Arabidopsis thaliana: one gene and its partner. The main gene of each other region encodes a partner of the protein of the gene in region 2 in a complex. Each region holds a gene or a part of one and is shown on either strand. Other genes may lie near its edges. The genes, in order: LSM1A and LSM6A.

Region 1 (3,649 bases), on a different chromosome or scaffold from region 2:
ATCTTGATCTTGTTGTTCTACACAGATTTTTAGTTGGGTTCAAAGAAAGCTTAGCGGAAAGAAGCGTGTGCCTACTTCAGATTCTTGTGAGTAAATATTCTTATTATTCATAGACTACATGAACAGTCTTCGCATAAATCATTTGAGCATATTTTCATATTTTTGTTTCATATGTTTGATGATGTATATATAGCTCAAGAACCATCAAGTCCTCCTTTGAGTAAAGAAGTCCAAGGTTTGCCTCAAGACGAAGAAACCTTCTTAGCCATCGGAACACTTGGAAACAATATCTTCCCCAAGCAAGAAGAAGAAGAAGAAGAAACAGATTCTAGCAAAGATATAACTCCGGTTAATACAGATGTTACTATCGGGAAGAAGAAATCGCTTTCTTTTCTTCTCAAGAAGATGTTTGTTTGCACAAGTGGCTTCAAAACTCCACCTCCTCTTCTTGATTTATCTAGAGGAGATTCATTGCACAACACACGAATGGAAAAGGTAAGCATATATGATCAAATTATTCAATCTTTAAACAAAATATTATTTTTATTATGAAAAGAAGTGAATTCAATAATAGTTATGTACACTAGAAACATTTTTTCCATATGTTATTTTGTGTGTAGATGCTAAGGACAATACTCAACAAGAAGATACATCCACAACGTTCAAATTCTATAGCAAAGAAGTACTTGGAAAGTAATCATAAGATTATGGATGAAGCTCGTTCAAGTGTTGACGCCAACAAATGGGTCAAGACTGATTCTGAATGTGAGATTTTCTAAAATTATATATATTTGGTTTTTCAGGTCGCAAAAAAAAAAAGTTTTATTTTAAACATACAGATGGTGTAATTAACCAAGTGAATATCATGACTGGCTTTATTGCAGTATTTAGTTAGGTCAAAAGCATATAATAAACATCATAAGGACTGAATTAAAATGCAGAAAGATGAAAAGTAAGAATTTAAAAATAGATAAATAAACAAATAGAAAAATGTAAACAAGAATAATGGATAGGGTAAATTAATTTAAATTTCTTTGATGGTTACAGATATTGTCTTGGAGATGTAGATATCAACCAATAAGCTAAATGGACCTGATTGATAGTCATGGTAATAATAGAATGTAAATAAAAACCAAAGTTTTTTCTTATTAAAAATTGATTTTCTATGTAAAATATAAAAAGTAGCAAACAAACATGATCACTGATTCAAGACAAATAATCAAAAATATGTTTTTCAGGTCTCAATTGAGTGATGGTGTAAGTTCAACTGTTCAAGATATGAAGAATAACATTGGAGAAGGGTCATAAAAATATCTCTGATAATCAGTGTTTACAGATGTATATTTACTTGTCAAACTCCATTTTTCATCATAGATTTGTTTTTATTTTTTCAGATTTTAATGTGGTGAAGAAAATCTGTTTGCTCATGTAAACTACAAAATATTCATCTTATCAAATAATTTTATTTGTATTTATGCAGTTTGAAATAAGTGATGAATAATGAAGAATGACTGAGATTTCTTGTTAAATAATAAAATGAAATGAAGGAAAACCCAAATGCAAAATAAAATGGGTTGATTATGCAATAGTTACGAAGTTTTGGGGTTTTAATGTATTTTTCCTAAAATTGAAAAAAAAACTCAGTCTGACCAAACTTTGACAGAACAGAATCGTGCGAGCCGTCAGACTTAACGAAAACGATCCATAGATCTCAAGTCTCTCTCTCTTAGTGAATAAATTAGGGTTCGTTGATTCTCTGTTCTTAAGCTCAGTAATCGAGGAGAAGAAGAAAAGGGAAGATCGGGAATTGGGAAACTGAGAAGTCAAAAAGGCAAATGCGAGTGGAGGAGATTGAGTTTTAGAATTCCAATGTCTTGGGCTGCTCCTGATGATATCTTCTTCTCCACTTCTCTTGCTGCTTACCTAGACAGTAATCTCTCTCACTCTCTTTCTCATTACTGATTCACCGGCGATGAATTCTGTAAAAAAATAAGATTTTGATCCCCAATGGTTGTTGAAGATGTTATCTTCTTCTACATGATTCAATAGTCTCTTAATGTTTTGATTTCTTGTTGCAGAGAAACTTCTTGTGTTGCTTCGTGATGGTAGGAAACTGATGGGTCTACTTCGGTCCTTTGATCAATTTGGTACTTGTCTTTCTCTTTTGCACCGAAAATCCAAAGTCTTTGAAATGGTTTTAAGAAATGTTTCGTTTGTTTTTGGTTTTCTTGAAGCTAATGCTGTTTTAGAAGAAGCTTATGAAAGAGTCATTGTGGGTGATCTCTACTGTGATATTCCCTTAGGTCTATACATTATCCGTGGAGAAAATGTTGTCTTGATTGGTGAATTGGTAAAGCTTTTACTAAACAAACCAATTCCTCTTGCATTTTGAAATGAAAGTTTCCACTTTTAAGAACGATTTCGGTGTTTGAATCGGGTTTCTGTGATCTTAGGACGTGGAAAAAGAAGAGCTTCCAGCTCATATGGTTCAGGTTCCAGAAGCAGAGATAAAAAGGGTTAGTGCAAATATCCTTCTCTCCCTTGTTGATTGCTTTAGCTCTGATTTGTGAGCTTCTTGCACAAATGTACTACAGCTGATTTGCTTTTATTTGGTTTAGTGTTTTGGATTCTACTGACTCCTCAATTACTCTCTTCCGTATACTCAGGCTCAGAAAGCAGAGAAGGAAGAAATGCTTTTAAAGGGCACAATGCGGAAAAGAATGGAGTTCCTTGATCTCGATTAGGGCATTTTCCTATGTGTTGCAGCATTGTAGAAACTAGAAGATCTCAAGATGGAGGATACAGAAGATCCTTAAACGTCATAATGTTAGTTGATGTGTGTATGTGTGGATGACATTGATGAATCCTCAGAACTTAGTCGTTGCAGATCCTCTGCTCTGTTTATGGAATGAAATTGTTGAGCCTGTTCTTTACTGGCCATTTATTTGATCAATCACAATTCAGTAAAAACAAAGATACAAAGATGAAAAGTGAACTCAAAGTACAGTTACAACCTTTGTATGATTCATATGAAAAGTTGAAGTAACAAAGCAAACATAGTATCCTTCTCTTAGTAGTTACCAAAAACCATTGAGCCAATAAGGCGTCTCCTCTAGGTAGGCCCTTTCACTCCGGGTAAGATAGCATTGTGATGAGTGACTCGTGTTGCGGAAACCTTGATAAGAGATCAGAGCGTTTCGCGAGCTCAAAGTCCTCGAACTGGAAAGCAGGAGCGCAGGTGCAGCCAACAAGAGAGAAATGGTTCTCAGAGTCTCTAGCCTCAGCTTTAAGCAGAGCCCCGTCTTGAGAAAAATGAACATCCTTTGTAGGAAACGAACCAAACCAGACGTTTGGAGGGACCGTGTACTGAGGCTTCTGATCACCTTCAAACAAGTCAGGACCAAGACATGTGAATTTCAACTTCCCATCATCGTAGAGTTCCACTACCTGATCAAGGCAAGAAGAAGAAGCCATATTCAAGAACATGGATTATATTCTTCTTCTCATTATACAGTTTTGTTCACTCACTGTAAAGACAAGAGCTTTGAACTTACAGTAAGGGGTTCACCCAAATAAAAGTGCCAGGTTTCAGCCATTGGTATGCGATGAAGACGAGAAACGCTCCCAGATGGAAGCAAGAAGTAGATAC
Region 2 (4,252 bases):
TCCGAGACTTAGAATCTAAAGTGATCACATCTGAATGAACACAGAGATCGAGATGGAAAAGTCACACCTGATGAAGTTGCGGCTGCTGCAATGTACCTGAAAGACACACTCGCTAACGACGGCCTTCAACAACTAATCAGTAGTCTCTCCAAAGATAAAGGTAAAGAACAGAGCGATCCTCTCCTTCTTGAGCTCTTATCTCCCTGAAGTTGATCTTTTTTATAAATCTGTTATTCAACAGAGGGAAGAATTATGGTGGAAGACATTGTAAGGTTGGGGAGATTGGGAAGCAAGCCAGAAGAAAATGCAACGGAAGAAGAATCAAGCTGAAGGAAATAATACTATGATTTTAAGACACACATAGACTTTTTAATACTAGTGAAGAGAGTTTTATTGAGAGAAGCTCTACTTCATGTTTTGCTGCTTAGACATAAGCAGGCTACTTACATATACAAGCGGCTAAGAATACGAGACCTTTTGCTAGTAATGTGAAAAGAGGTTGAAGATTAAAAATAACATTACGCCAAGAATGATATCTTGAGCGTTTTATTTCAATGGAAACTCCTGATTCAAATGTGTCGATGGCTATGAATATGATAATCTGATGATTGACTGGTTATACTAGTTTGACATGTGTGTTTCCAGTGATCCCTAAATGACATAATTCGATTACTAAACTTTAATGATCTTCCTCGTTTCGATCTGTTGGTCACCCAAACTCAATTTTGTTTGCTTGTATGATTGTATCAAGCCATAAATTAATAATTTTTCTTCTTTATCTGGGGTCACATGGAAGAGTATCATATTACTAAGAAAAAAGTGATGTCTGTATCCCAAAAATCTACTGAAGAACATAGGATGACAATCTTGGTACATGTCTACTACTCTTTTAATATGAGGTAGAAGAAGACAACAAAAATGGCAGCCATAACATGACCACTGTTGTTGTTGTTGATGATCATGATGGGCCTAGGCTCCGTCTGCTACAGTCATGTTTACTGTACTGATGTAAAGAACTGCATCCAAAGAAACCACACTTAAAAAGAAAGATATACAAAGAAGAAGATTGAGAGAAGGATGAGTGTGAGAGATTTTAGTTACCGTTGTTTCCACGGATAAAGGCGTCACCATATTTGTTCTTGAGCTGCCCGTTTACATACTCCTCCGTCTGCTCCATTGCTATGTTCATATATCCATCAAGACAAGTAAGAGTGCCTGTGAAAAGAGTAATAAAAACTTGATCAAGAACTCAACATTAAGCTTGAACAGAACATAGACAAAACTGACTCGGGCACGAAAGGAAAGAAGTCAACAAGAATGATATAAGTAGCCTTGATAATGAGAGAAACTGACTTAAATATTCAAATATCTCAGTCAACTATTGTAACCTTATTGCAGGCAGAAAGGAACATGTTCTTAAGAAAACCATTGAACAATGTTCACAAGGAAACCTTAGAAAATGTAAGAAAAGCTTCACATATTGACTTTAAAAGAATCATTTAAAAGCTGAAGACATAACATGATAATTAAGTTACTTAAGTGGGCTTAATACAAGCAACTCTTTAATTCCCTTAACATAGACAAAAGAACTAGTCCTAAGTCAAAGCTTCTAACCTAAAGTGCAGCAGAGATAGAGAACTTGCAAAACACATAAGAACATCTAACGAGAGAGAGAGGCACCTCGATAATCAACACCAGAATTGAGCTTGACAACAACGGGTCTCCCACGGATGGATTTGAGGAAATCTGCAGGTGTCTTTGTCGTTCCAGAAACTTTCTCTTCAACTCCACTCATCTTTTAAGCTCGATCCTTTACGTAACTGCAGAAACAATTGAGATCTGAAATCAGTTTGGTCGCTCTTCGAACTACAAAAACTCAAAAGGTAAAAACCATTCAGAGTCAATCTCTCGAATCACAAAAAGACTCCGAAACCTAAAAACCTAAACCTTCAACCCAATAGAAGCGAATTCGATTGAAAATGTAAAGAGAAATCGAAACTTTAACAAGGATTAAAGGAACTGAAAGAAGAACTCCTTACCTGAGACCTACTCGAGTACGAGACACAGAGAGAAAGAGAGAGCGAAGAAATAACGAATCGGTCCTAAGGGCTTTTATTATTTATTTCCAAAACTATATACTATATGATTATTGTTATTTCGATTCGATCGAGTTTTCATATTAAAACTAATAATAATTGAACATTAGTCCTTATAGATTTTATTATTTTACTTTGGAGGGTGAAATTAAATCTCCAGTGCGTTTCGGTTCGACCTCACAGTTTCTTCTGTTCTCGTCTCTCTCTCGTTTGCTTTCTCTACAGATCCCTAAATCCTCTCCCTTTGGACCGTTAATCCCCCAAACCCTAGATTTTACAAACAATTCCTCTCAATCTCTCTAAATTCTCTTTCTCCTGCAAGGAATTTGCGGACTGTTTCTTGTGGGGTAAATCTTCTATTAGCTATGGGGAAGAATCAAGCTTACAAGGCTATGCAGAGATCTAGGGTTGGTTCCAGCTCCGCCCAGCCGGATGAGGTTGAAGACGGAATGGTTTGTACCTTTTCATACTCTCATCTTCTTCATTGCAAATTGATTCTGTTTTTTTTTACTTCTCCAAACAAAATTCCAATTTGGTTGATTTACTTATGGTTTTGTTGATCTTTTGTGTTGTTGGGTTATCGAGCTGCATTTAGAATTAAGCCTACAAGAGATCCTTTATGAGTCCCAATTTTGGGGGAAGAACTTGTATCTAATACCTGCTAGGTCTTGTAGACGATATCAAGTCCATGTTTAAATGTGATTTCGTAAAAGTGTAGCATCAGAGTTTGTGTTACAGTGATTCAAGAGTCTTTTTATTGTTGTTGTAAGCTGTGAACACAAAGAAGCATTTGGATTAGTCAAACTTTGATATTTTGCATTGGTACCGGAACATTTCTGATGAGGATTGTCTCAGGTGGATGGTTCATTTCATACACCAGAGTGGCATGCGGCTCGTTTGGCTAGCCTCAAGACTACACATACTATTACCTGGGAAGAGTATAAGCAGAAGCAAAAGGTAATCTTTTTGCCTTTTTAATACTTAAGTTCTTCTGTATGTTGTATGGAACGGTGTTCCTTGTTATAATGCCATAGAAGATAATCAATTGACCATTGATGATTTAGTGTTCATAAGATTGCTATTATTGTCGTCAATTTAGAAGCTTTATTCCAACATATCATTTTCTTTTCCTCTGCTGTTTATCATCTTCAGCCACAGATACGCAGTCTTTGTGTGTTTATATAAAAATGAGTGTGTCTTCCTTCTACATTACATCTATCCCTATCTCGCGGTTTTCAAGTAACTCTAGTCATGCTCATTTTTTAAACATTTTTATTATCTGCAATATCAGTTTTTTACTACTACTTGCAGCAGTCTCTCTGTATTGTGAGTATGGAACATTAGGAAATGTTTAACATTATATCTTTCTTTCGTGTAACATGTGTAGGAAGAAGAATTGAAAAAGGGAGAACTTGAAGCAGATACCGATAAACTGATGCGTGAGTATAGAGCTCAGCTGGATGCAGAAAGGTCGTTGAAACTCTCCAAAGGAAGGAACTATTCTAGTGATAAGTCACGAAAAGGTAAACATAATCCACTTAACTTAACATGACATCTAAACCTTCTTTCTGAGGACGTTATTAACTGGTCGCCAATGGTTCAATGACCTCGCAGATAAGAAAGACAGAGATTCAAAGAAGAAGAAAAGCAAAAAGAGAAAGGTGCCTTCTAAAAGTTTAGCTTATATCAGATAGTGTGAGGTTTTCTAGCTTATGCTAACATGAACCATGATCGGTTGTGTTATGAATTTGCAGCATTATTCGTCCTCAGAGTCGTCATCTAGCAGTGATGAAGATGAATCTAGAAGATCAAGATCAAGTTCGAAAAGATCAAAGAAGGAGAAGAAGCACAAGTCCAGCAGAGACAAACACTCTAGCAAAAGTAAACACGAAACCGATGGCCCTGTACCACTCTCTAGATTCTTTGGCAATTTGAAGAATTGACAAAAGCAAAACTGCAAATGAACTATTACAAAGAGTAAGATTGTCTTCAATCAAAATACTCAAAGTAGGATATGATTGCTTTCTTCCTTGTTGCAATGTTATATTTTTGACAATAGCTCATGTATTAATATTTGTTGGATTGAAAGTCGCAATGATGCCCACAGAATCATGGTTTTTCAGTTTATTTGCTTAAAAATGAAATTTGACAACATC

Evidence for each region.
Region 1: LSM6A (region 2) and LSM1A share a complex: the UniProt entries of both Arabidopsis thaliana proteins name them as parts of the heptameric LSM1-LSM7 complex.

The regions. Positions count from the first base shown.
Region 1 is NC_003070.9:6,606,419-6,610,067, forward strand, and holds LSM1A (Small nuclear ribonucleoprotein family protein), read left to right. Parts: upstream 1-1,696; 5' UTR 1,697-1,869; coding exon 1,870-1,930; exon of another isoform or gene 1,931-2,078; coding exon 2,079-2,147; intron 2,148-2,234; coding exon 2,235-2,350; intron 2,351-2,453; coding exon 2,454-2,516; intron 2,517-2,666; coding exon 2,667-2,744; 3' UTR 2,745-2,951; downstream 2,952-3,649. Other genes in the region: AT1G19115 (uncharacterized protein), read left to right, coding at 26-86, 194-495, 621-765, 1,048-1,067; AT1G19130 (RmlC-like jelly roll fold protein), read right to left, coding at 3,127-3,447, 3,555-3,649. UniProt on the Arabidopsis thaliana protein: Component of the cytoplasmic LSM1-LSM7 complex which is involved in mRNA degradation by promoting decapping and leading to accurate 5'-3' mRNA decay.
Region 2 is NC_003074.8:22,094,384-22,098,635, reverse strand, and holds LSM6A (Small nuclear ribonucleoprotein family protein), read right to left. Parts: upstream 2,168-4,252; 5' UTR 2,040-2,167; exon of another isoform or gene 1,821-2,039; 5' UTR 1,796-1,820; coding exon 1,681-1,795; intron 1,216-1,680; coding exon 1,102-1,215; intron 1,017-1,101; coding exon 970-1,016; 3' UTR 670-969; downstream 1-669. Other genes in the region: LETM1 (LETM1-like protein), read left to right, coding at 45-160, 244-347; AT3G59800 (stress response protein), read left to right, coding at 2,462-2,548, 2,952-3,053, 3,484-3,619, 3,711-3,757, 3,851-4,039. UniProt on the Arabidopsis thaliana protein: Component of LSM protein complexes, which are involved in RNA processing. Component of the cytoplasmic LSM1-LSM7 complex which is involved in mRNA degradation by promoting decapping and leading to accurate 5'-3' mRNA decay.